Rhinolophus ferrumequinum: one gene and its partners. The main gene of each other region encodes a partner of the protein of the gene in region 2 in a complex. Links are inferred from orthologs where the notes say so. Each region holds a gene or a part of one and is shown on either strand. Other genes may lie near its edges.

What was found.
Region 1: the proteins of LRRC32 (region 2) and TGFB1 are in contact, whole or in part, in a cryo-EM structure (PDB 8VSC), measured with the Homo sapiens proteins. The link is inferred for Rhinolophus ferrumequinum from reciprocal best matches to the Homo sapiens genes LRRC32 and TGFB1. Residues at the interface, in NP_001122394.1 of Homo sapiens: Ser135, Tyr137, Glu158, Ser160, Thr162, Val184, Met186, Asp187, Ile188, Glu189, Asp190, Phe193, Leu202, Leu204, Arg206, Asn207, Ser208, Leu209, Thr210, Cys211, Ile212, Ser213, Asp214, Phe215, Ser216, Leu217, Leu223, Leu225, Cys227, Ser229; in NP_000651.3 of Homo sapiens: Leu30, Ser31, Thr32, Cys33, Lys34, Pro325, Pro327, Tyr328, Ile329, Trp330, Ser331, Leu332, Thr334, Gln335, Tyr336, Val339, Leu342, His346, Ala353, Pro354.
Region 3: the proteins of LRRC32 (region 2) and TGFB3 are in contact, whole or in part, in a cryo-EM structure (PDB 8VSB), measured with the Homo sapiens proteins. The link is inferred for Rhinolophus ferrumequinum from reciprocal best matches to the Homo sapiens genes LRRC32 and TGFB3. Residues at the interface, in NP_001122394.1 of Homo sapiens: Ala110, Ser135, Tyr137, Ser160, Val184, Met186, Asp187, Ile188, Asp190, Phe193, Leu202, Leu204, Arg206, Asn207, Ser208, Thr210, Cys211, Ile212, Ser213, Asp214, Phe215, Ser216, Leu217, Cys227, Asn228, Ser229, Lys254; in NP_001316868.1 of Homo sapiens: Leu24, Ser25, Thr26, Cys27, Thr28, Leu30, Pro347, Pro349, Tyr350, Leu351, Arg352, Thr357, His358, Val361, Leu364, Leu368, Ser375.

The regions. Positions count from the first base shown.
Region 1 is NC_046298.1:39,655,261-39,663,032, forward strand, and holds the start of TGFB1 (transforming growth factor beta-1 proprotein), read right to left. Parts: upstream 3,006-7,772; 5' UTR 2,971-3,005; coding exon 2,616-2,970; intron 1-2,615. Other genes in the region: B9D2 (B9 domain-containing protein 2), read right to left, coding at 4,751-5,064, 7,370-7,498. UniProt on the Homo sapiens protein: Transforming growth factor beta-1 proprotein: Precursor of the Latency-associated peptide (LAP) and Transforming growth factor beta-1 (TGF-beta-1) chains, which constitute the regulatory and active subunit of TGF-beta-1, respectively.
Region 2 is NC_046294.1:51,148,923-51,156,524, forward strand, and holds the start of LRRC32 (transforming growth factor beta activator LRRC32), read right to left. Parts: upstream 3,086-7,602; coding exon 3,014-3,085; exon of another isoform or gene 3,003-3,013; coding exon of another isoform or gene 3,000-3,002; intron 1,400-2,999; coding exon 1,389-1,399; intron 586-1,388; coding exon 582-585; intron 1-581.
Region 3 is NC_046289.1:22,844,375-22,851,375, reverse strand, and holds the start of TGFB3 (transforming growth factor beta-3 proprotein), read right to left. Parts: upstream 3,008-7,001; 5' UTR 1,881-3,007; coding exon 1,541-1,880; intron 1-1,540. UniProt on the Homo sapiens protein: Transforming growth factor beta-3 proprotein: Precursor of the Latency-associated peptide (LAP) and Transforming growth factor beta-3 (TGF-beta-3) chains, which constitute the regulatory and active subunit of TGF-beta-3, respectively.

The DNA of each region.
Region 1 (7,772 bases), on a different chromosome or scaffold from region 2:
AGCTCCCTGCCTTCCAACCCAGGCTCTCCTCGTTGAAGCGCTATGTAACTTTGGGCAAATGAATTCCTCTCTCTGTGCCAGATTCTCACCTGTAAAACAAGGAACGACTGACTGCAGGGTGAGAGTGTGAAAGAAAGTGACACGAATAAGATGAAGCGTGTAGCACAGAGTCTGCACACAGTGGTCACTCTAATGTGCGTGTTAAAGCACACTCACTACTTGCCAGGCGATATTCAAAGCACTTCGCATTTAAACTTCACAACAACCCCAGGAGGAACATATTATTTATTATACCTGTTTTATAGAGGGGGAAACCTAGGCACAGGAGATTAAGAAATTTGCCCCAAGGTCACATAGCTAGGAAGCTGCAGAAAGGGATTCAAACTCAGGAAGTCTAGTTCCAGACTTCAACCGCTCTCAACTACTAGGGTATGCAGCCTCCCTGTTAATATGACATTTATTATTATTATTATTATTATTATTATTATTAATTATTTCCTCCCTTAGCTGGTTAGAGAAGGCAAAGTTCATTTTAGGTAGGAATGGCTTAGTGGGGTTAGAAAATTAGGAAGAGTGTTTACTAGTTCAGAAAAGTTTGGGGGTGGGGTTGAGAGGGCAGGCCATGAACTCCCGGATCAACTGGGGCACCTATTTTAGGCCTCTGTAGTGTGGGTGCGAAAATGGGAGACAGGATCTGATGAGAAAGGTAAAAGGTAACCCCTTCTATGGGCCCCCTTTCCGTACTCTTCCCCCCTCTAGCCAGACCAGCCCCTCCCCACAATAAGCCCTATCTTGGCCCAGCGGTTACTCAGCAACCCCCAGAGGAAGGATAGAGCCTGGTGGGGAGACAGATAGGGAGGAAGAGTAACAAGATGGGTAGGGAAAGGCAGACAGGGAGAGGGAGAGAACGCGAGACAGGGAAAGGTGGGGAGGTGTGGAGGAGGAAGAGAAAGAGAGGGAAGAGGTGCAGAACCAGAAACTGGGAGACCCACAAACGGACAGAGAGACTAATGAAAATGCGGGAGAGATGGAAAAACAGAGATAGGAGACAGAGAGACACACGGGGAGAGAGACAGAGGGTTTGGGGAGGAGATGGAGACGGTCTGTGAGGAGAGGATTGAAAGTATCAGTGTTAATCTCTACAATGTAGAGAAATCTCTAGAATGATGGTGAAGCAACCATGGAAAAAAGGTGAGATGAAGACAGGGGTGGAGATGGGCGTCATTTGACTGGAGCCACAGTTGGGCGCACAAAAGGGCTGGAGACCCACAAGTCCACTGCCCAACAGGGAAAGTTAAAGGAGGGAGACCCCGAGCCTCTGGGCCACTTGGGACGCCGGGGTACCCGAGTGGGCGCCGACGGGGCTGGCCCAGCGGTAGCCCCGCCCGGAGCTGGGGTGAAGAGGGCCGGAGGCGCTGGCGCTGCGAGGGCGGGGACCGGACCTGCCCCGTCTCGCCCCAGGCCCCTCGCGCGATCCCCGCCCCCCAGGGCACGGGAAGGAAAGGGAAGGGAGGGCGGGAGAGGCCGCCGGAGGCTGGGGTTTCCCCAACCTCCCGGAGAGGAACTGGCACTTTGGGGTCCAGATTCTCAGCCTTTAGAGCTGCGGGGTTCTCTTCCTCCCCACTTCCGGACGCGCAGCTCCTCCCCACTCCCCCGCGCGTGGCACCCACGTGGGGCTTCCTCACCCCAATCTTGCAGAGTCGCACCCACCACCTCTCCCCCTGCGGCTGGACTCCTCGCTCAGCCCACTGCCTTCCATCCGCGGTGTGGAGGGTTCGCCGCTCCCAGTAGGCCACCGTTTATCTCTCCTCCGCCCCTCTCCCGGTCCACCTTTCCCACGCGTCTCTCCTCTCTGTAAACCCCTTCCCACGACCCAGTATTCTAGGTTTCCTAGGGGCTCGCTTCCTCAGCTGGGCTTCCTCCTCGCACGTCCACCTGTGAAGTACTCAGGGCACCTCCCCGGGCATCCCCCGTACCCCAGAGGTCTCCGCTTCTTTCCCGCTAGCTTCCCTCTTCCTACGAACTCGCGCCCACTTCTTCCCCGCATTTCTCACCCCCAACCGTCTCTCTGCTCCACCCCCCAATCCCGCGTATTCCTGGCGCCTGCTGTAAACTGGTCCACTTTTCCTGGCACCTCCGGGCTTCGCTTTACCTAGCTTTTCTGTCCTTCTTTAATCTTCTCGCCTCACGATCCCTGAGCTCTGCGTCAGCTTTCCCTACTGCTTCTCCTTGCTCAGAAATGGGGTCTTCGCTTCTCCCAAAGCGGGCACCCTGTCTTCAGCCCCTATCCCACGACCCCCACACTCTAGTGCACCCAGTAGCCGAAAGTCTTTTCTACCCCTCCCCCATTGCTTCTCTCCCTCTAGGGGACTCCCGCGCCTCGATCCTGCATGTTCCGGTCGCTCTCTAGAAGCTGTCCACTTGGTTCACTATCTCCTCTTCAAGACCAGACACCTGGGGGTGGAGGGAGCTCTTTGAGACTCCGTCCCACGTTCCCAGCGCCCCCAGGAGTCCTCTCTCTCCAGTTTCCTCCGCTAGTTATTTCCTCCCCGACCCCAGCACGCCGGCGCCCGCTGGGGGCTCCCCTCCAGGATCCCCTGCCCCTCCGAGCTCACTGTGGCTGTTTTCCACCGTTAGCACGCGGGTGACCTCCTTGGCATAGTAGTCCGCCTCCGGCTCCGGCTCCGGCTCGGCGCTCTCTCCGGCCACCCGGTCGCGGGTACTGTTGTAAAGGGCCAGCACGGCCTCGGGCAGCGGGCCGGGCGGCACATCCCCCTGGCTCGGGGGGCTGGCGAGCCGCAGCTTGGACAGGATCTGGCCGCGGATGGCCTCGATGCGCTTCTTCTTCACCAGCTCCATGTCGATGGTCTTGCAGGTGGATAGTCCGGCGGCCGGCCGGCCCGGGGTTAGTACTAGTAGCCACAGCAGCGGCAGCAACAGCGGCAGCAGCCGCAGCCCGGAGGGCGGCATGGGGGAGGCGGCGCCCCCGGCACTGCCGAGAGCGCAAGCGGGGCTGGGATGCGAAGAGGGAGGCCCCACCCCTACAGGGGCTGGGGGGGAGGTCTCCCGTGGAAAGGTAGGAGGGCCTGCGGGGAGGGGGAAGTTGAGGCCCTCGCGGAGGACGGAAGGGAAGCTCTAGCGGGTGGCTTCTCGGTATCCCACGGAAAAACCCGAGATGGGCGCGATCTGGTACCAGAGGTGGGTGGTCTCGAATAGGGAAGCTGAGGCAGGTCTGAGAGAGATCCCGTCTCCCAGACTCCGGAGAAGTGTCCTTGGATGCGCGGGAGCTCAGGAGAGGGGCGTGCGCCCGAGGTCTTGGGGTCAAGTCTTCGCGGGAGTCGGGTTTGTGGTTCCTGAGGGCTGGTCCGGAATGGGGGCGCCTGAGGGACGACGTGTAGGCACGGAGGAAGCAAGCTTCCGAGGCGGTGGGGGAGCAGTCTGCGGTTCCCAAGTGCTGCCTCCTCGCCCGGCAGCGCCTCGCCAAGCGGTCCCCGCGCCTCCGGCTCCCAACGGCAGCGGAAAAGTCTCAAAACTTTTTTCCCTCTTCTCCCTACCAGCTCGTCCCTCCTCCCGCTCCTCCTCCCCCTCCTCCCCGCAGTGGCGGCGGCGGGGGCGGCAGCGGCTCGTCTCAGACTCTGGGGCCTCGGGCTGCTCCTCGGCGGCTCCTTCCTCCGCTCCCGGCTGAGGCCGACCCGGCGGATGGCTCCGAGCCGGGGGGGTGCCCCGGAGGGGGCGTCCCCCCTGCCCCCGGCCGGGGGCCTAGCTGTCTGGCGGATCTGCGGCGGGAGGAGGGGGGTGGGACGGCCCGGGGCGCGAAGGGCGGCGGCGGTGGCGGGGACCGGCTGGGGCGGCGGGGGGTTTTGAAGCCGCCCCGGCCCCACCCAGGAAGCGCGCGGGGCGGGGGTGGCCCCCAGGGGTGAGGGCATGCGGGGGCCGGGCCACCGTTCTCAGCTCGCGTGGGCGGGCTCTGAGGGGGGTCCCTTAAGCCCCGGGGGAGGGGGCGGGCACCCCGGCCCCGCCCCACGAACAGGGTGCTGCCTCCTGGCGGCCGAGCGCTACCAAAGCGGGCGACCCGGATGCGTGTGGCTTTGAAGACTGTGTGTGTGTGTGTGTGGGGACGGGGCGGGGGAGGCGGCTGGTCACCGAGAGAATGAAGACCTGGGGAGGAGGGCTCAATCAGTGGATGGGGACACAGTTGACAGGGAATCAGAGGAGGGGACGCAGAATAGAGTTGGAAGCTGGAGAGAAGGTCAGCCAGATGGGGGAACCTAGTGGGGAGAAGGGCACAGAGGAAGGGGAGCCCCAAGGAGAGGGGTCATAAGAGGGGCACCCAGAATGGGGAGATCAGAGTTTGAGAAGGATGGGGGATGCAGGTCTGTCAAAAGGTGGGGGCCTGAGGAAGGAGGGTGTCAGTGGGAGGACAGGGCACAGGCCATCTGACAGGTCAGGAAGACACCCACACCTGTCAGAACTGCTTTCCTTTATTGAACATTTCCATGTGCAAGGCAGCCTCTTCTCTTCCAAACCCCTGGGACCCCACACATTGCTGTCTCCATTTCACAGATAGGGAAACTAGGCCCCAGAGGGACAGCTACTGGGCTTCAGAGGTGCTAGCCAAGACAGAAGTCGCAGTGTGCCTTGGCTCCGGGCAGGTCTGACAGTTTCCAGAGCCCAGACTTCTGACTATTGTGCCATCCTGCCCTTACTGGGTGTCCAGGAGTGGGGATGGGGGCCCGTGAGGCAGCGTCCCTCAGCATTCAACGCCATAGCGGTCAAAGTGGCGCAGGAGTAGACCCAGCTCAAGGTGCACGGTGCCACCGGCGGCTGTGTGCAGGCGATAGCGGTCAGCCCCACTGTAGATGGTGTCCCCATGCAGCAGCTGAGGGCCACCACCCACGAAGGCCCGTGCCAGCTGCTCCCGCCAGCTGCCCAAGGGCCGCCACGTGGGGCAGTCCAGCTTGTGGGTGCCGGGACTGCTGGGTACATGGCAAAAGCCATAGCCTGCAAGCTGGCAGCGGCCAAAGCTGTCCTGGGACCAAACCTGGAGATGGAGCCGGGGCCAGCCTGCAGGAAAGGAGGGAGGGAAGAAGGGATGGGACAGCCGGGTCTCCAGCTTGTGGATCCCCACTTCCTTGATCTCCACTGGAGACCTCAGGTAGTCCGTTCCCCCTGGGTTTCTTCCCCAGCCTCTTCTTTGGACTCCCACCTCAACATGGCAGCCAAAGGGATGTTTCTGAATCCATGTTCCTCCACTGCTTAAAACCCTTCCATGGCTCCCCAGTGCCCTTGGTATAAAGTCCACCTCAACATTCAAGGCTCTTTGGATCTAGCCTCTGCTGACTTCCCTCTCTGGTTTCCATCTCAGTGTGGCCCAGTCGCCAGATGAGTAAGTACCGTGGGCCTTGTCCTGGACACCTCCCTTCTTCCCACACCCTGGCCCACCCTGTCCTCTCTGGGCTCAGAGGCTTCTTTCTTGCGCCCTCCAATCCACCTTCCACCTGGCATCTGGAAGCATCTATCTCCCCCTCCATAAGTTTCCCACTGTCCTCAGACTACAGTTCAGCTCCTCAGCTTGGTAGACAAAGCCCTTGGAGATCCAGTCCCATTTCACCCTCCTTTCTAAGCCCCTCTGTGCTAGGCCCTGTTCCAGAAGCTGGGGACACATTGGTGAACAGAACAGACAAAAATTCTTGCCCTTATGTAGCTGACATCCTAGACAACGAACATAGTAAATAAGCAAATTATAGGGTATGTCAGATGGTGATAACTGCTCTGGAGAAAAATAAAGGTGGGTAGGGTGGGGGTGGGGATGCAGTTTTAGAAAGGTGGGGATCAAGAAAAGCTTCACTGAGGTAACATTTGAGCAAATGCTTAAAGGAGAGAAGGAGTGGGCCATGTGGACATCTAGGGAAGAGTGCTCCCAGCAGGGGGAACAGCTGGTACAAAAGGCCTGAGATGGGAGCTGCCTGGGGAAGCCAGTGTGGCAGGAGCCCATTGAGAGAGGGAGCAGGGAGGAGGTGACAGCACTAGATCATGCCGGGCCTTGGGATCCATGGTAAGGCTTTGGCTTTTATCCTGAGAGATATGGGACGTAGAGGGTTCTTAGCACAGGAGGAACGTGACTTAGGTTTTTCCCTGAGTTTAGGGTGGGAACACCAGTGAAGAGGCTACTGTAATGGCCCAGGTGAGAGGTTAGGGTGGACAGACCAGGTGCCAGGGGAGAGGGTGAGGTTTAGTATGCATTCCAAAGGTAGAGCCAGTGGGATTTCCTGATGGACAGAATGGGGCGGGGGGAGGGGGGCGTTCAGGAAAAGAGGAGGCCAGGATGATATACCCACACAGGGGGTCTGGGGGTCTCAAGAGTGAAAGGACAGTCGCCTGCCTCGCCCTCTAATCCATCACCCTTTAAAAGCAAAATCTGACTTCTTAGTCGCCTGCTGTGTCTTCAGGAGATGGCCTCAGCTCTGCAGCCTGACATTCAAGGCCCTGCCACCTGACCCCCTGCAGTCCTCCTGCTTTATCTCCGTCCTCCAAATGCCCTGGCTCACTTTACCCTTTGTGCCTTCTGCACACAGCTCTCTGCCTAGAAACCTCTTCCTTCCCTCTGCCTTATTAGCCTACTGGACCTTCACAGCAAAGCTCAAACATCCCCTCCTCCAGGAAGCTTTCCCTGAACTCCCTGGCAGTCAGGAGCCTCCTCTTGGCTCCCACAGCTCTCTATAATCGCCCATCCCAGCCCTGTCCACTCTGGGCTGCCACTTTCTGGGGACAGCTCTGTCTCCCCCATGGGATGGTGAACCCTGTGAGGACAGGGCTGGGGGCTGTCTCAATCACTGACATCTCCCTGACATCACCCACCACAGGACAGGCACTCAGTAAATATTGTTTATATTGCTGAAATATACGGCATATTTACCTAGGCTATTTCCTGGAATCCACTGCTCTCTAATGACCCAAATTTTCCATCAGAAAAGATTTTCTGATACCATTCCTCCCCCGCATACTCATTTCCACTCTGAACAGCTGAGGAGCTCTGCCTGAGAACAGCCACCAGCCCTGCCTCTCTCTTATAAGCCCTCCCAGCTTCCTCCTGAATGAAAACTCTCTTCGTTTGTCTCTTTCAAAGCCACCTCCTCTCTCCCCCTGGTCTCCACCTTCCCCTTTCTCTCTCCACCCCTGGCCTCTGACACACTCTGGAGCCAGCCCAGGGAAGTAGCAGATCAGCCTCTCCAGGACCAGACCTGGCCGGGAAAGGGACCCACAGGGCATGGGAGCAGGGACAGGACTTGGTGTTCCCAGTCCCAGCAGCATGGCGTGCTGCTAACCCCCCTCCCTTCAGTCAGGTCCAGAGCCCAGGCCAGGAACCCACCTTGGAGACCTTTGGTGGCGAAGTGCAGGTCGATGGGGTGGGACCAGTAGGCCATGTCCCCTATTTGGGGGGTGTCCACCTGCGTTTGGCCCTCCCGTATGCCTGACAGGAGCTTCCATGCTGCCCCTGCAATGAGAGCCAGAACACCAACGGGACAGGGAGAGGTCGGAGGCAGCCATCAGGAAGGGGATGCTCTTGTGGCTGTAGGACCACGTTTCTCCCTGGCACTGGGGGGCAGGGGTTACAAAATGGGGACTCTGGAGCCAAATGTCTGTGTTCAAATCCTGGGACTACTTCTTCCTGCCTGTGCACCCTTGGGCAAGTTACGTTTTCCTGCCTGTCTCCCTATCTGTTAAGTGGGTATAATAATAATATATTCCATGTTGTTTTGTGAGCAGATTAA
Region 2 (7,602 bases):
GATGCCTTGGGCCTGGCCCACAGAAGGTGCTCAGTAATTCTTTTAATGAATGAGTCACAGATATCCTCCCTTAGTAAAGTTCTGAGGGATTGATTCAATCACTTTTCTGAAAGGAAAGAAAAGAGATGATCCATATACTCAGACTAAAGTCAAAGACTGTTAGAGCAAAAAGGGTCCAGCCCACCCACTTCACAGATGGGGAGACTGAGCCTGAAGATGGCAATGTCCTGCACTGGTCATGGTGAGTCAGTGGCTGAGCCAGCGGGGCAGGAACACAAGCCTGGGGGTTCCCTTCTGCCTGGCTCAGCTCTTGGCTTCTTCCCAAGAGCTCCAAGGTGAGGAGAGGGGAGGAACAGACTGCCCTCCATCAGGCATTTGTGTGCCTCTTCCTATTCCATGCAGTACAGCGACTGGCCTACTCAGAGGCACAGGGATACCCCTGCGGTAGGGCATCCATGTTAACTGGAAACCTACCCTGGCCACCTTGCCAGTCTTGCCTGGCTCCTTGACCTTTCCTCCCCCACAGCCTCTTGGCCAGCTGCGGCCACTAGGCATGGCCTCCCTGTCCTCAGCTCCTGGACCATCCTGCTTAAAGAAGGAACAGCAAAATGAACACAAACACAATGACTGCCACTAACTATGGAGTGCTACTATGTTTCCCCGAAAATAAGACCGAGTCTTATATTAATTTTTGCTCCAAAAGACGTATTAGGGCTTATGTTCAGGGGATGTCTTCCTGAAAAATCACGCTAGGGCTTATTTTCCGGTTAGGTCTTATTTTCGGGGAAACGCGGTAGCTCTGTCAAGATTGTGCTGAACGCATAGATCCCTTTGCCTTATTTAATCTTCTAAGGCATATTTACTCCTTAGAACACCCTAAGGAAATTGAGGCTTAGCGGGTGGGCTGCCCCAAATCAGATAGTCAGAGGCTCAAAACTACTATTGCAAGTTCCTTTTCCTATTGGTGCCAGCCAAGTTCTGAGCACTGGGCCCTCAGCTGGTCGAGCACCCAGGTTGAGTCTTTCGGCACAGTAAATAATACCAGCCACACTTCCTGAGCATTTACTGTGTTGGGGGCACTGTCCTGTGCATTACATGTTACCCCATATGCAAGCCCATGTCCCATTTCACCTCTGGATACTCAAAGGCTCCCCGGGCACTAACCTCTGAAAGTTAAGCCCGGACACAAAGCTGGCCAAGCTCAGAGCCTAAAACTTGCTTCATGCCCAGGGGCCCAGGACCCTGTCAGAGGCCGAGAGGAGGCTGCTGGCAGGTAGGCCTGCACTGGGCTACCCAAGTCTCCAGTCTAGTCCGGGAAGGAGCTTAAAGGCCAGGGCAGCTCTCGGCACTCCATTTCCAGGGTGCCCACCACTTCCTGAGCGCCTGACTTACATGGGGACTGACTTACATGGGGAGGGGTCTTGGGGGAATCAGCCCTTGCCAAGTTTATAGCTTCTCCGACACCCCTACCCAAGCTCTCTGGGATGCCAAATGCCACTGCTCCCTACCTTTTTTTTTTTTTTTTGAGGGGCGCAGGGCTTGACACCCAATTCCATTTTACCACCTGACCATAGAAGGAAAACAGGGTAGGGTAGGAAGAGTCACACAGCAGTGGATAGCATAAGCTCGGGACAGCTGGGTTCGAATCCTGCTCTGTTACTTCCTATTTGTATGAGCCTGGCAGGTCATAGCTCTTCTCTCAGCCTTAGTTTCCTCAGCTGAAAAGAGGAGTTCTGGCAGGAGAAAAGGAGAGAAAGCCCTCAGCATGGTGCAGGTACCGCTTCAGCCCTGAGTCTGTGGCAATTTTTGTTTTACTATTTTGAAAATCATCATAATTCCTTCTGTGGTAGTTCGGAAAGTGCTTCCCTGCCCAGTATCTCATTTGCCCTAAATCCAAACCTCACCCAGTTCCCCTTCCTGTTGGGTGGCCCAGACCCTTCACCTCTCGGAGCCTGTCGCCTCAGGTAGAATGTCAGCTATATTTGGTGACATGTGAGTCCTTCTCTGATTATTATGGGTTCTAGGAATCTCAGAAGGGATCTGAAGAGCAAGAAGTGAGGTGACAACAGCAGGATACTGCAACCCCAAAGAAGGGCTGCTGGGTTCCTGCTGCCAGCACATCCAGTCTCCAGAAGCAGCTGCCATTCTGTGTCATAAGCTTCCAGCCCCAAGTCCAGGTGGAGCTGCCAGAGCTCCTGCCTTGAGCTCAGCGACGACTCAGCCTTACAAGTAGACTGAGGTGGTCCCTTTTCTCTGTACCCCACAAGGTCACAGTAGCGTTAGGGCTAGTCTCCCTGGCTCAGGGACTAAAAAGGAAACAAAGTGAATCAAATCTGGCCCTCAAGAAGTTCTTGGTCTTGCAGGTGAGACAGGCTTGGACCCATGTGTCAACTATGCCATGTGCTCAATATTGAGATGGAGGGAAGCTTGGGGTTGCGGAAGTCCAGACAAGGGAGGAAACAGAACCAGGTCAGCCTGGGAAGAATCACAGGAAGAGTCAGCATTTAACCTGGGCTGTAATGAGTGAGAGACACCCCAGCAGGGATGTGGCATACGGGTCCAAGTCAAGGAGAACAGTTAGAAAAGGGGATTTGTCCTCAGGAGGAACCTAGTACATGAGAACCCTTCCCAGCTGGCCCACCCCAAATTCCCCCCCACCATATATATATTCAACATTACCCAGCTGACCACTGCCCTGTGGGGGCAGCTTTGGGGGAACAGAGTTCAATGTTGGGCCTACTGATCCTAGTTGAATGATTTTTGGACAAGTTACCTAATCTCTCCAAACCTCAGCTTCCAACTCTGTAAAATGGGAATAATGGTACTTACCTGGCAGGATTAATAGTAAATAGGTATTTGAACATTCTAGCAGTTTAAATGCATTACATGCCTTGCCTTTCCTCTTCTGACTCGTCTAACTTCTGGCTTCTGGGGCTGGGACAGTAGGATACCCTAGGGCTGGGGAGAGGAAGCTTACCCTTTCTGGCAGGGTTTCTTACCATCTTACAAGCACCGTGTCTCGGTGTTGGGAGGTAGCCAGGCCCCAGGTCAGCACGGCCAGGAGCAGCAGGGTCTGATGGCTCATGGCTCTGCATAGAGAGGGAAAGGAAAGGGAATAGTGTAAAAACTCAGGCTCCTTCCCACTGCCAGCCCCCACCCTCTCACCCTGTCTGTGCCTGGCCTCAGGGAACCCCAGGCCACAGTCATAGCTGGAATTAAGGTGCGTGAATGGGGAACGTTGTGAAGGGGGCAGGAAATGGGACTGTAGCCCATTGCAAGGGGACTCCAAGGCCAAGCCAAGGAGCTGGGCCATTCCCCACCCTCAACCCCACCCCCCACCCCAGCAAGAATTTTTAAGCAGTGGGTGACATGATTAGATTTGGGTTTCAAAAGACCCCACCTGGTGGAAGACAGTCTGGATGGGGTAAGCAGGAGGCAGAGGGACCCTAAGGGCTGCCCTAGGGCTGGGGTGGGATGAGGTGGGGAGCTGGGCCTCTGACTCCATTTCTACACAAGCCACAAGCAGCTCACCCCATCCTAGTTCCTCAGGCCCCAAACAGAATTCCTCAACACCCCCACCCCCACCCCTGGACTTTATTTTGCCCTTTTTCTTTTGATTTTCTGATTCTCCAGTCCCTGCCATTGTTTGAAGGCTGGGCCTGGAGCCTTGACAGGAAGCCCCGCCAGGAGGCCTGCCCTGCCCCCAGCACTGAGGTAGTGAACTTCCCCAGGAGCACGCTGCCAGGCCTTTTACTTTCACTGAAGCCACAGCAAGTGCCAATGCAGAGGACACTGAGGCCTGCTGAACCCGCCCTTCTCTCTATGAGCAGGGGGAGCACAGAGACCCTCAATAGGGTGGAATCCCAGTGTTGCTAGGGGTTCCCTCACTGAGGACATGGGCCAAGTGCTAGGAACACACAGATTCATCCATCGATTGCACTCATCCATTCATTCACACCTTTACTGAATGTTTCCTCATGTCTGGCTCTGTGCTGAGAACTGAGGATACAAATAAATGCACAGAAGTGACATAATACATACAGAGCATTAAGAAAGAGGGACACACAAAGCCCTCCTAGGGCGCTGGACTCAGAGTCACCCATACTTGACTGTTACTTATGTCTCCTCCACTTACCTGCTACGTGACCTTATGCAAATCATGTCACCTCTCTGAGCCTCAGTTTCCTTTTCTGAAGTTAATGCTGACCTGCCAAGTTTTGGTAAAGATCAATAAGATATATTCTAGGAAAGTGCCACTTACAGAGCCCTTACCGTGTTTCCCCGAAAATACGACCTAACTGGAAAATAAGCCCTAGCATGATTTTTCAGGAGGGCATCCCCTGAACATAAGCCCTAATGCGTCTTTTGGAGCAAAGCTTAATATAAGACCCGGTCTTATTTTTGGGGAGACACGGTATTATGCACCAGGTACTTTTCTTGACACTTTATATGTATTAACTCATTTAATCCTCCCAGTAATTCAATGATTTGGCTCCATGACTCCCATTCCCATATTGCAGACGGGGAAGCTGAGGCTCAGAGAGATTCAGTAACACATCCAAGGTCTCACAGCTAACAAGTCTGGCTCCTCGGTTTGTGCCCTTACCCTCTACACTATAAGGTCTCCCAGAGATGCTGAACGGTGACTCTGAGGATACTTTATAAGAGGCATTTCTAGAACTTTGAGGGCTGGGTCGTTACTGTTGGGACCCACTAGCATCCTTGCGATGAATTTTAAGTGAACGTGGCAATTGTGAGGTTCTTTCTTGTTCATACAGGCAGGGGCCACGGCGGCCTTTTAAACCCTGTTCCTTGGGTTCCCCTCAGCATGGGCCTCTGCCCCCACAGCTGCTCTCTTCTCACCTGCATCACAGGTTGGGTTTTCACAGGAAATTTTGTTCTGCTGTTTAAAAAGCAGAACATCATCACCCATCTGAAAGCTGGTATACTCAGAATTGAGTGGAAACCCCTCAGCCGGGCCTCTGAGGCCCTTGGGGAGTGTGCCGCATCCAGCCAGCTCTCCTTTCCAGCTTCATTTCTCACTGTCCCCTCTCCCACTCTGGGTTCTGAAAGCCTCCTATTTCCTTTACTTCTCAGAGCCCCTTTTCTCTTGTGCTGAATACCTCCTTATCCTTGGGGTCTCAGCTTAGATGTCACCTCCTCCCAGAAGCCTTCCTGGTTCCCTAAATCTGGGCTATGTGTTGGTCCCTCCTCCAGGTTCCCATAGCCCTTGAGCTTCCAGGGAGCACAGCACCGAGCACTCTATGGTTTAACCACCCCCCACCCCCGCCGCCCACTCCTATGTGAAGTGTCCCTAGGGCAGAGGGGCTCACTGTCCTCTGGGACCCATCTCAAACCACTGGGCAGGTGGGGAGGAAGCACTGAGAATTGACATGAAGTGTCTTGGTGACACTTGCGAGAGCAGTTGTTCAACTTGACTCTCCCTGCCACACTTATTCCTTCCCCACCCCACCCCCTACCCCCATTGGCCAGCCAGCGGGTTCTGTCTGCTCTCCCTGAGAAATAGGCCCCATGCTCTGCCTACCTCCCTCCTCCATCATCGCCACAGGCTGAGGCACCACCATGACCCTGGGCCTCTTTCAGTCTGTCTGACACGTAGCAGCGCAGAGGTGTTGTTAAATCATAGATCAGATCACGCCTCTCACAGCTTGGAGGAACCTCCAGTAGAGCCCAGGCTTTACACCTCTCCTCTCTGACTCCATCTCACCAAATTCTAGCGTTCTCGCCATTCTTTGGTCATTACTCAAACACAGCAAGTGCATTCCTGCCTCAGGACCTTTGCCCTGTTGCTCCCCTCCACCTGGAATGCTCTTCCCCAGATCCCTACAGGTTTTCTTGTTTCCTCACCTTGACCATTTCCTCATAATTAATTTTTTATTCTATGAGAACAGGGGTCTATTAAGGGGTGCTCACTAAAGAGCTATGGAGCAAATGAGCTGAGGGGTGAGTGTGAGGGGAGGACAAGCAAGGGTCCGGTTTAGCTCTGACCTGAAGGCATTGCCGCTCAAAGCGGTCCTCATGTCCCCCTCCTCTGCCTGCCAAATCCCACCCTACCCCCAAGATGGGCACCAGAGCATCCGGCAGGGATTGTCCCTGCAGCAGTGGAACTCTGCTCTGGCATCTGACAGAAGGGGACTCCTCAGCTGTGTGCATCCATCAGCAGTGCCCAAGACACAGTGTGTAGAATTTGAGGGTGACTTTTTCTCAAGTGGGAGGACTGGGGTCACTCAGAAGCAGGCTCCCATCCAGACTCGACTGCTCCCCAGCCTGTTCCCTGGGGCAAGTCCCTTAACTCTTCAGTGCCTACTCACCATCCCTCGGGTAGGGCAAGTAGCCTGGTTTCCGTTCTGCCATTTGACTACCCCCACCATTGTGACGATCAAGCTGAGAATGGCTATGAAGGTGCCCTGGACACATGTTGTCTTTCTAGCTGGTACCATGACCTGCAAGGCTGAGCAGCCCAGGTCAGGTGTGCTGAGGGCGGAGGCCCCAGGCCGGGTGGACAAGTGGTGACAGGAGACATCCTAGGGACTCTGACTGGAGGGAGAAAGGCTAAAGAATAGCTGTGTGTGTGTGTGTGTGTGTCGTGTGTGAGAGAGAGAGAGAGAGAGAGAGAGAGAGAGAGAGAGAGAGAGAGAGGAGAGAGAGAGAGAGAGAAATGGGGTGGGGCAATGCCTACTATCATGATAAGCCTATCCTTACTATTAAGGATATTAGACACTCTTTAAGCACTTGACCTATATTATCTCACTTAATTCTCACAACCCAATGAAGTAATTACTATGATTTCCATTTTACAGATGAGAAAACTGAGGCTCAGAAGGATGAAATGACTTACCCATTGCTACCCAGCTCATAAGTGCTTGGGGATTTCGCTCAGGTCTACATGACCCAAATGCTGTGTTCTCTCCAGCAGGTGTGAGTTGCCTGTCCCTATAACACTGCCCTCAATTTGCCTGTGAGGAAAGAGGCTCAGAGAGGCGACTTCCCCAAAGTCACACAGGCGATAAACAGCAGAGTCAGGATCAGAGTCCCGTCTGTCTGCCTCCAAAGCAAATGTTTCCACTACCCCAGGCCAAGCTCTCCCTCTCTGACCCCCTCCAATGACAGCCACCCTAACATCCACAAGCAGACAGGCTCATGATGCTGGGCTGGGGGTGTTCTCCCCCTCCTCTCAGCAGGGATCATTGGCAGAGGGGTCCTGGGAGAGCTGCGGATCCCCGTTCGGAGCAGTGAATCACTAGGGCAGACCTGTGCATCCCACGGGGGGGAATTAGACCTTAACCCAAAGGAATGTGGCTGTGATGGCAGAATTTCAGGCAGCCCAGGGTGGGGGTGGGGGTCCCTCACATCTTACCACCCATAAAGAAGGCTGGCTTTGGAGCCCTTTTGAGGGAGAGGGGGGTGCACCCCCACACTCTATATAGGCAGGTTATCTGGTACTGTGGATGGGAAGCCCACGCAGGCCTAAGTCAGAGGATGGCAGGAGACCTTGATTCAAATCCTGATCTGCCACTGACTAGCTATGTGTTCCCGCCAAGTGCTGGCCTTTCGGCTGTTGTCTTCCCATCTGTCAAATGG
Region 3 (7,001 bases), on a different chromosome or scaffold from region 2:
GGTGCCTAGGGGTTGGGGGCTTAGCCATCTAGCTGTCGGTGTCTCTGGGAACTGTGGGCCCCCGGCAGACCCCATGTCAGCCCCCTCTGGAGGACCCTGGGCAGGGCACACTAGCTCTTGTCCTCCAGCCTCCGCCCCACACAGTAGCCACATCCTAAGGCAGGGCGCTCCATGCACCACAGGAAACTGGAGCGGGAAACCCTCGCCAGTAACCACAGGCTCCTGGGCCTGGCAAGGACCAGCTCCCACTGGGGCCTTTTGCACCTTCAGCCAGAGCTCGTCCACCCATCAGCCATCCTCTCCTCTTCCTTCTCTCTAGCCAGGTTCCTTTCAACCCTGAAGTCCCTCCCCTACCTCCACCTCCCCACCCCACCCCCATGGCTGACCACTCTCACCCGGCCTGCTCCATCCCACCTTCCAGCTCCCACTCTAGGCACCTCCCAGGTGAGCCAGGGCTGAGGTAGTCAGGGTGGTGAGGCCACCTGCTGGTAGGAAAAGCAAACAGAAATCTCTCCAGAGTCCCTGGCCCACGAGTGGCTCACATTCTTCCTTCCTGGGCTGTCAGTTTCTCAACATCTGCCAAATCTCTGTCTCTCATGTTGAGGTTTTTTAAATCCCTCTTCAGTAAACACACATGACTTCCACACGTGTACAAACACAGAGACGTCTCACTCAGAAGCCTCCCAGCTCCTCGGCACAGACAGGAGCCTCCTGGGAGGGCACACTCCCAGACACACGTTCCCTCTGCACCCACAGCCACACCTCCCATCCACTCTTCCCGTGACACGCAGACACGAAAGGGCCGCCAGCAATCGTCTACATATCCAGAGCCACAACCCTGCCTTCCTGTGTCCACAGGCCTGGAAGACACCCATTTTGAGCACAAAAATCTGTCTTCTGTTATAAAAGCCAGACTACACATCGCCCTAAAGCACATGTACATGTGAACAGAGGTGTGTACCCTTCCCCCACGCCCACAGCTCACGTGGGTCACGTGTGTGGTGGAGACTGAAGGACCCAGACAGTAAGAAGCTGTCTCTTGCCTGGGCTTCAAAAGCTTGACAGACATTAATGTGGGGTAGGTACTCTTCTTCCCAAGAACTGGAGAAACGGAACCAGAGACGTGTCACAGTGACTTGTGAAAAGTAGGGAGAAGCCAGAGGTCTCCAGATTCATGGAACTGTAGGGCTTGAGAGAGAGCCAGCCCTGCCCCTTTATGGCACCTTTGGCTTACAGTTACCCATCTGCTCGCATGGGTGAGAGCACATATGTTAATGGGACAGCACCGTGCAACTCCAAATTAAAATCAGTCAAGGATGTGATTCGAGTTCGGCAAGCAGCTCAACCACAGGGCTCCTGGCCTCCCAGAAGCGCCAGGCTCTTACCAGAATGGCTCTGTCTCCCTCCCCACCCACCTACCCAGCCCCAATTGCGCATCGTACCTCCTGAGCCATCGAGCCACCGATAGGGCCCCCTCCGTGGAACTCCCTACTCTAGTTCAGACCCTTCAGAGCAGACACCCAGCGAGAATTGGACTTACTGTGCTCCGCTAGCCCCTGGATCATGTCGAATTTATGGATTTCTTTGGCATAGTACTCCCACTCGGTGTTTTCCTGAGTGCAGCCGTCCTCCCTCTCCTCCAGCAGCTCCCGGGTGCTGTTGTAAAGGGCCAAGATCTGGTAGGGGACGTGGGTCATCACCGATGGCTCGGGAGGACTGGTGAGCCTGAGTTTGCTCAAGATCTGTCCCCTAATGGCTTCCACCCTCTTCTTCTTGATGTGGCTGAAGTCCAAGGTGGTGCAAGTGGACAGAGAGAGGCTGACCGTGGCAAAGTTCAGCAGGGCCAGGACCACCAGAGCCCTTTGCAAGTGCATCTTCATATGCGAGCCGGGGAGAGAGGCCAGGGAGGCTGTGAGGCCTGGCAAGGAGGAGACCCCAGCAGACGTGCAGAAGGAGGGAGGAAAACCAGGCGGCCTCCCTAGATCCCGAAGACTGAGGCTTGGCAAGAAGGTGCATGAACTCACTGCACTGCGAGAGCTTCAGGACTTCCAGGAAGCGCTGGCAACCCTGAGCACGAAGAAGCCGACTGTGTGCCTTGTAGCTCTGGGTTTCTTCTCCATGTGTCTAAACAGGTTCTGCTGGGCTCTGACTCCCAGCAGGCCAGGTGGAGGGCAAGCAGAGGGCTGGGAGGGGTGGCAAGGCAGCTGGGAGTGGGAAGGGAGCTGGAGTTTTTCCTTAGGTAAAAATAAATAGAGCGGATATCTGATATTGCCAAAGGCCTCTTGGCGATGGGGAGAAAGTGGGTATTTTAAAGAAGGAGCAGAAGGACCATGGCTTGGGTCCCAAAATCAAAATCCTTGCCTTGCCCTGAGGGAGAATAAGAAAAGAGAATGAAAAAGAAAAGGGGAAAAAATTGTTAAAAAAAAAAAAAAAAAGTCAGATCACCAGTGAGTAGGTGGGGAGAGGCAGGGCTGGGCTGCTGATGGCCCAGCTAAAGGTGGGGGCAGCACAGGACACACTTGTCGCTCGGGCACACCATTCATGCTTTCTCTTTTGTTTACACTTCCTCGGGGGCTTTCTAAATGACTTTGTTCCCGTTGCCTCTTGTCTTCATTGGCTGGGATGTGGGGTTATGTGCAATTGGAAGGCAGGGAGGACAGGCCCCTGGAGAACAGCCCCAATAATCCACTTGGACGCCCAGGGTCACCAGCACCTCGGCTTGTCTTCTCCCTCGGCCATTGCTTCTGTCCCCTGCTTCTCTTTAAAAAATAAAAAGGAAAAGAAAAATAAAATAGAAGCCAGCTCACTGCACGCCTGCTCCGGAAAGCTGTTATTCCTTCTTTCTCATGCTTCTTCCCCTATCTCTCGCCTCCCTTGCTCATTGCCTCGGACTTGGCTTTCTGCTTCCCTCCCTTTCTCTCCCTCCTGCGTTTCCCTCTCCCTCTCCCTCTCTCTCCCTCTCGCTCTTCTCCCTCTCTCACACACACACACATGCACACACACTGCTTTCTCTATTTCTCTCTGCTGAAATTTTATACCTCCCTCCGATGACGTCTCTGGCCCGGGTGGGGGAGGGAGGGACCAGCGCACGCAGCCTCTTTTGCTGCACAATTTTAATGTTTTAAACAGGCACAGGAAAAGCCGAGTCCATTTGAAAAATACTTTGCGAGTCCTCTAGTTCGACGTGGTAACTGAACTTTTTTTCCCCTCTTGGAGTCACTCCTGCTACACGTTGACTGTTTTTCTGGAAAGTTACTCCGATGAATCCCCTCCCTGCTTCTCCCCCAACTCCTTCGCCCTCTCCAGCTGTCAGTCTGTCCCTCTCCTCCGCGAGTCTCACTCCTTCCCGGGCCAGGCCCGATACTGTGCAGGGTCGGGCGTGCGCGGGGCCTGGGCAGGGGCGGCCGTGCCACCCTCGGTTGGGGCGATGCCCGGACTAGTTGCGGGCTTGGAGTTGGGTTCAGCTCCGCGGCGATCCTGGCCACGATTCTTCATTGACAAGATTGGAGTCGGGCAGCCTGCTGAAGCTTGGAGATGCTCCAGGGGCACTGAAAATGGTGGCGTTTTTCTGCAGATCGAGGGTGCCCTCTGGCGAGGCGAGGCCGTCAGTGACCGAGGCTCCGCGAGTCGGAGCCGGGAAGGCGAGGAGGGCTGGGGGCTGGGGGCTGGGGCTGGGGAGAAGGGGCTGCAAGAAAGGCGGAGGAAAACAAGCCTGAAGGCCTGGGGGAGTAGCCTCCCTCTCGGCCCGACGTGCGTACAAGTGCAACTCTCCCTCCCCCGAGCCCTGCTCTGCAGCGGCTCTTTTGCAGAAATGTCCTCCAGATGTTCGCAGCCTCCCTCCCCGCCGGGGGTTCCGCAGGGAACTGAGCCAGTGAGCGCAAAGTCAGCAGTTGGCAGGAGCCCATTTCCCAGATGGGTGAGGGGAAGTTTTCTCTTTTCTTTCGTTCCTCGTCTCAGCCTAAGCTTCTAGGTATTTTCCCAGAAGCTCGGGGAGGGCAAGACACGTCGCTTCCACCGGTCCCCCCCCCCCCCACCCCCAGACTTGCTCCTGAATGGATCACTTTCCTGGGAATCAGTGCTGCTCCCCTCCACTCCACCCCAAGCCACCTCATCCGGCCTTCCTGGACCCTTCCTGCCAGGTCTGGTTCCTGCTCCTGGCTCCTAGGCCATTAACTGAAGGAATGTTCACTGCGTCCCCAGACCACGGTTGATCAGTTTACACTGGAGGCAACTGAGGCACAGAGCAGCTTAAAAGTCCACTGCTTGGAGTGGTGGAGGTGATATTTTACATAAGCTCTCTAGTTTGGGTAGGCATTATTGTCGTTTGCATAACAAATGAGAAAACCCAGGTGTAGAAAACTTAAAAGTAATCTACCTAAGGTCTTATAACCAGTGTCAACACTGAGATTTGGACTGAGGAGTCTATTGCAAGAGTCTATGAGTTTAACTATTATGCTTTACTGCCTCTGGAATTCAGCCATCCTTTGACAAATATTTTTGGTGTTTACTATATACCAGGCACTGTTTTAGGCTCTCTGGATATGCAGGTGAATAAAACAAACAAAACCCTTGGCCTAATGGAGCTTACACTCTAGAAGTGGAGGTGGGGCAGTGGGGAAGGCAATCAACTAAATAAATATGTAAATGATGTAGTATGATAAAGGGTAAGTGCCATGGTAGAAAACAAAACAGGGAAGAAGGATAAGAAGTGTGTGTATGGTGGGGGTGAGGGGTGGAGGGGGTGGGCGGTGGTGGTGGTTGCAATTTAAAATAGATGTTGCAGTTTTAAAGCAGCAAAGGGCTTACTGAGGCTTTTAAGCAAACTTGCAAAATGGGAGGGAAAATTATCGAAGGTACTTTCTTCTGGACTCCACCTCTACTAAATCAGTCTCCCGGGATGGGGCCCTGGCATATGTACTTTTAACAAACTTCACAGGTGAATCTGGCGTCCAGCAAGTTTTGGAAGCCACTACTCTGGGGCTTCTTTCTGTCCAGAGTGAGCGTTGATCACCTCTTGCTTTCAGGAAGTTGGGGAAGAAGTAGGAGTGAAGGTTTGGAAAGTGGTTATAAGTTGGTGGTGGTATGGCTATGAGCTCACAAGAAATGAAAAAAATCCAAAGACTGATTCCTTCTTCCTCTTCTGGTGCCAAGAAAGAAGGGAACAAGGAACTCATCAGAGCCTATATTTTATCCATCTCGGATTTTTAGCAATGAATGTTTCTTCAGATTAAAATCGAAGAGTATCCTCAGTGAGAATCAGAGTTAGTGAATAAACGATCTTTGGGGTAATCTCTAAGAATAATTACAAGAGAGGAAACTGAGGTCCAGAGAGGCTCTGCCTGGCTCCCCAGGTAGTTGTCAGTAGAGCTAGGATGAGACCTCAACTCTTCTGACATCCAAGCAATGCTGTGACTGTCAACGGCATTGTGCTGTGGGGTGCTAAAATGCACAGTCCTCTCCAGTCAATATAGGTGGATGAATGGTTGAACTGAGCAATTTACTGAGTATTCAAGAAATGCTTGCAATCCAGTTTTAGGATTGCTACTTCCACTTCCACTTCCATGCCCTCGCTTTGAAGCGGTGGCCATCTAGGCCTTCCTGCCAGTGTAATACTGGAGACATTGCTCACTTTCAGTGCCATGAGCCCGTCGTCTGGGAGTCCCCGCTGACCAGTACCAGAGACCCAGACAATGGTGTCGACTTGGGGATCTTATATGTAGAGTCAATGAAGACTCAACTCACTCGCCCCATTAGGCTGGTGAAGGGGTTCAAAACAGGCCTCCCCAAGATGTGTCACTTGGGCATGTGAATTATTTTGAGCTGAAAACAGTCAAGACCCTGTGGTCTCATGACAAACTTTTATCTCTCCCTTAAAGAATTTACATTAGAGGCCTTGCCCATAATAAGAGTTATCACCAGAAATAACTTTTTATATCTATGTCTACTATGTCTATCTATAGGCCAGGGCAAACCTCTAATTACTGAACACCTGCTCTTCTTATTGTCCTGCAAATGACATTTGTTCCCTCTAAAGCCTCAATGTGCCTTACTTTATCCTTAGCTCAAAATGTCACATGTACCTCCTTTTCCCTCTTCATCTCTGAACTTCTCATGTAGGTGGCGGGTCTCTGACTTGCCCATGTATATGGGGTTCCCATACTTAAGTATGTAATTAAATTTGGTTATTTTCTCTTGTTAATCTGTCTCATGTTGATTTGATTATTAGACCAGCTGAAAGAAGCTAGAAGAGTAGAGGAAAGCTTCTCCTTCCCCCACACTGGGAATTTGCAGGCCATCTTACTCTGCTGGCCTAGGAGAAAGGCTGGCACCCAGGAATATGTGCTGGAGAAAAATACTCCAATAATACGGTGTCAGACAGCCATCTGGGTCTGCTGCTTAACACTCAGGTGATTTTCCTCAAGCCACCTCTTTTCATCTGTGTCCTCAGTTGTTCAATAGATATATTACTGCTGCTCATTTTATGGAGTTGTTGGAGGAATTACTTGACTTTTGATAGTTATTACTATTCAGGTACTTCATGTGTTAGTTCAGCCTCTCTAAATTTTTTGAAGGCAGAGATTATGTATATTGCATTTTCCGTTATAAACCATTTATTAACACCTGACCCCCTGTAGCCTGTTTTCTCATCTGTCCAATGGAGATAATAGAACTTATGTTGCTTCCCACACAAGATTGTTATGCCTTTCACACGAGCTAATAACTGTGAAGGTCCTAGGTGCGTTGCAAAGAGCTATACAAATGGGAGGGATCAGAATAATTGCTACTATTAATAGTGGTGCTGTGCACTTAATAACTTAACGTATTTTTAAAAAGACTAACAGTTTTTCACCGCCCCAGAGGAGCAGCCTTAGCGGGATTTAATATCTGGAGGTTTCTTCCGGAAGTCAAGCGAGGCAGATTTAGGAAATATTTAAGTTGGAGGATGGCACATAGAATCCGGGCACAACGCGGCTAACTTTAAATATTGGGACGGAAGGGCG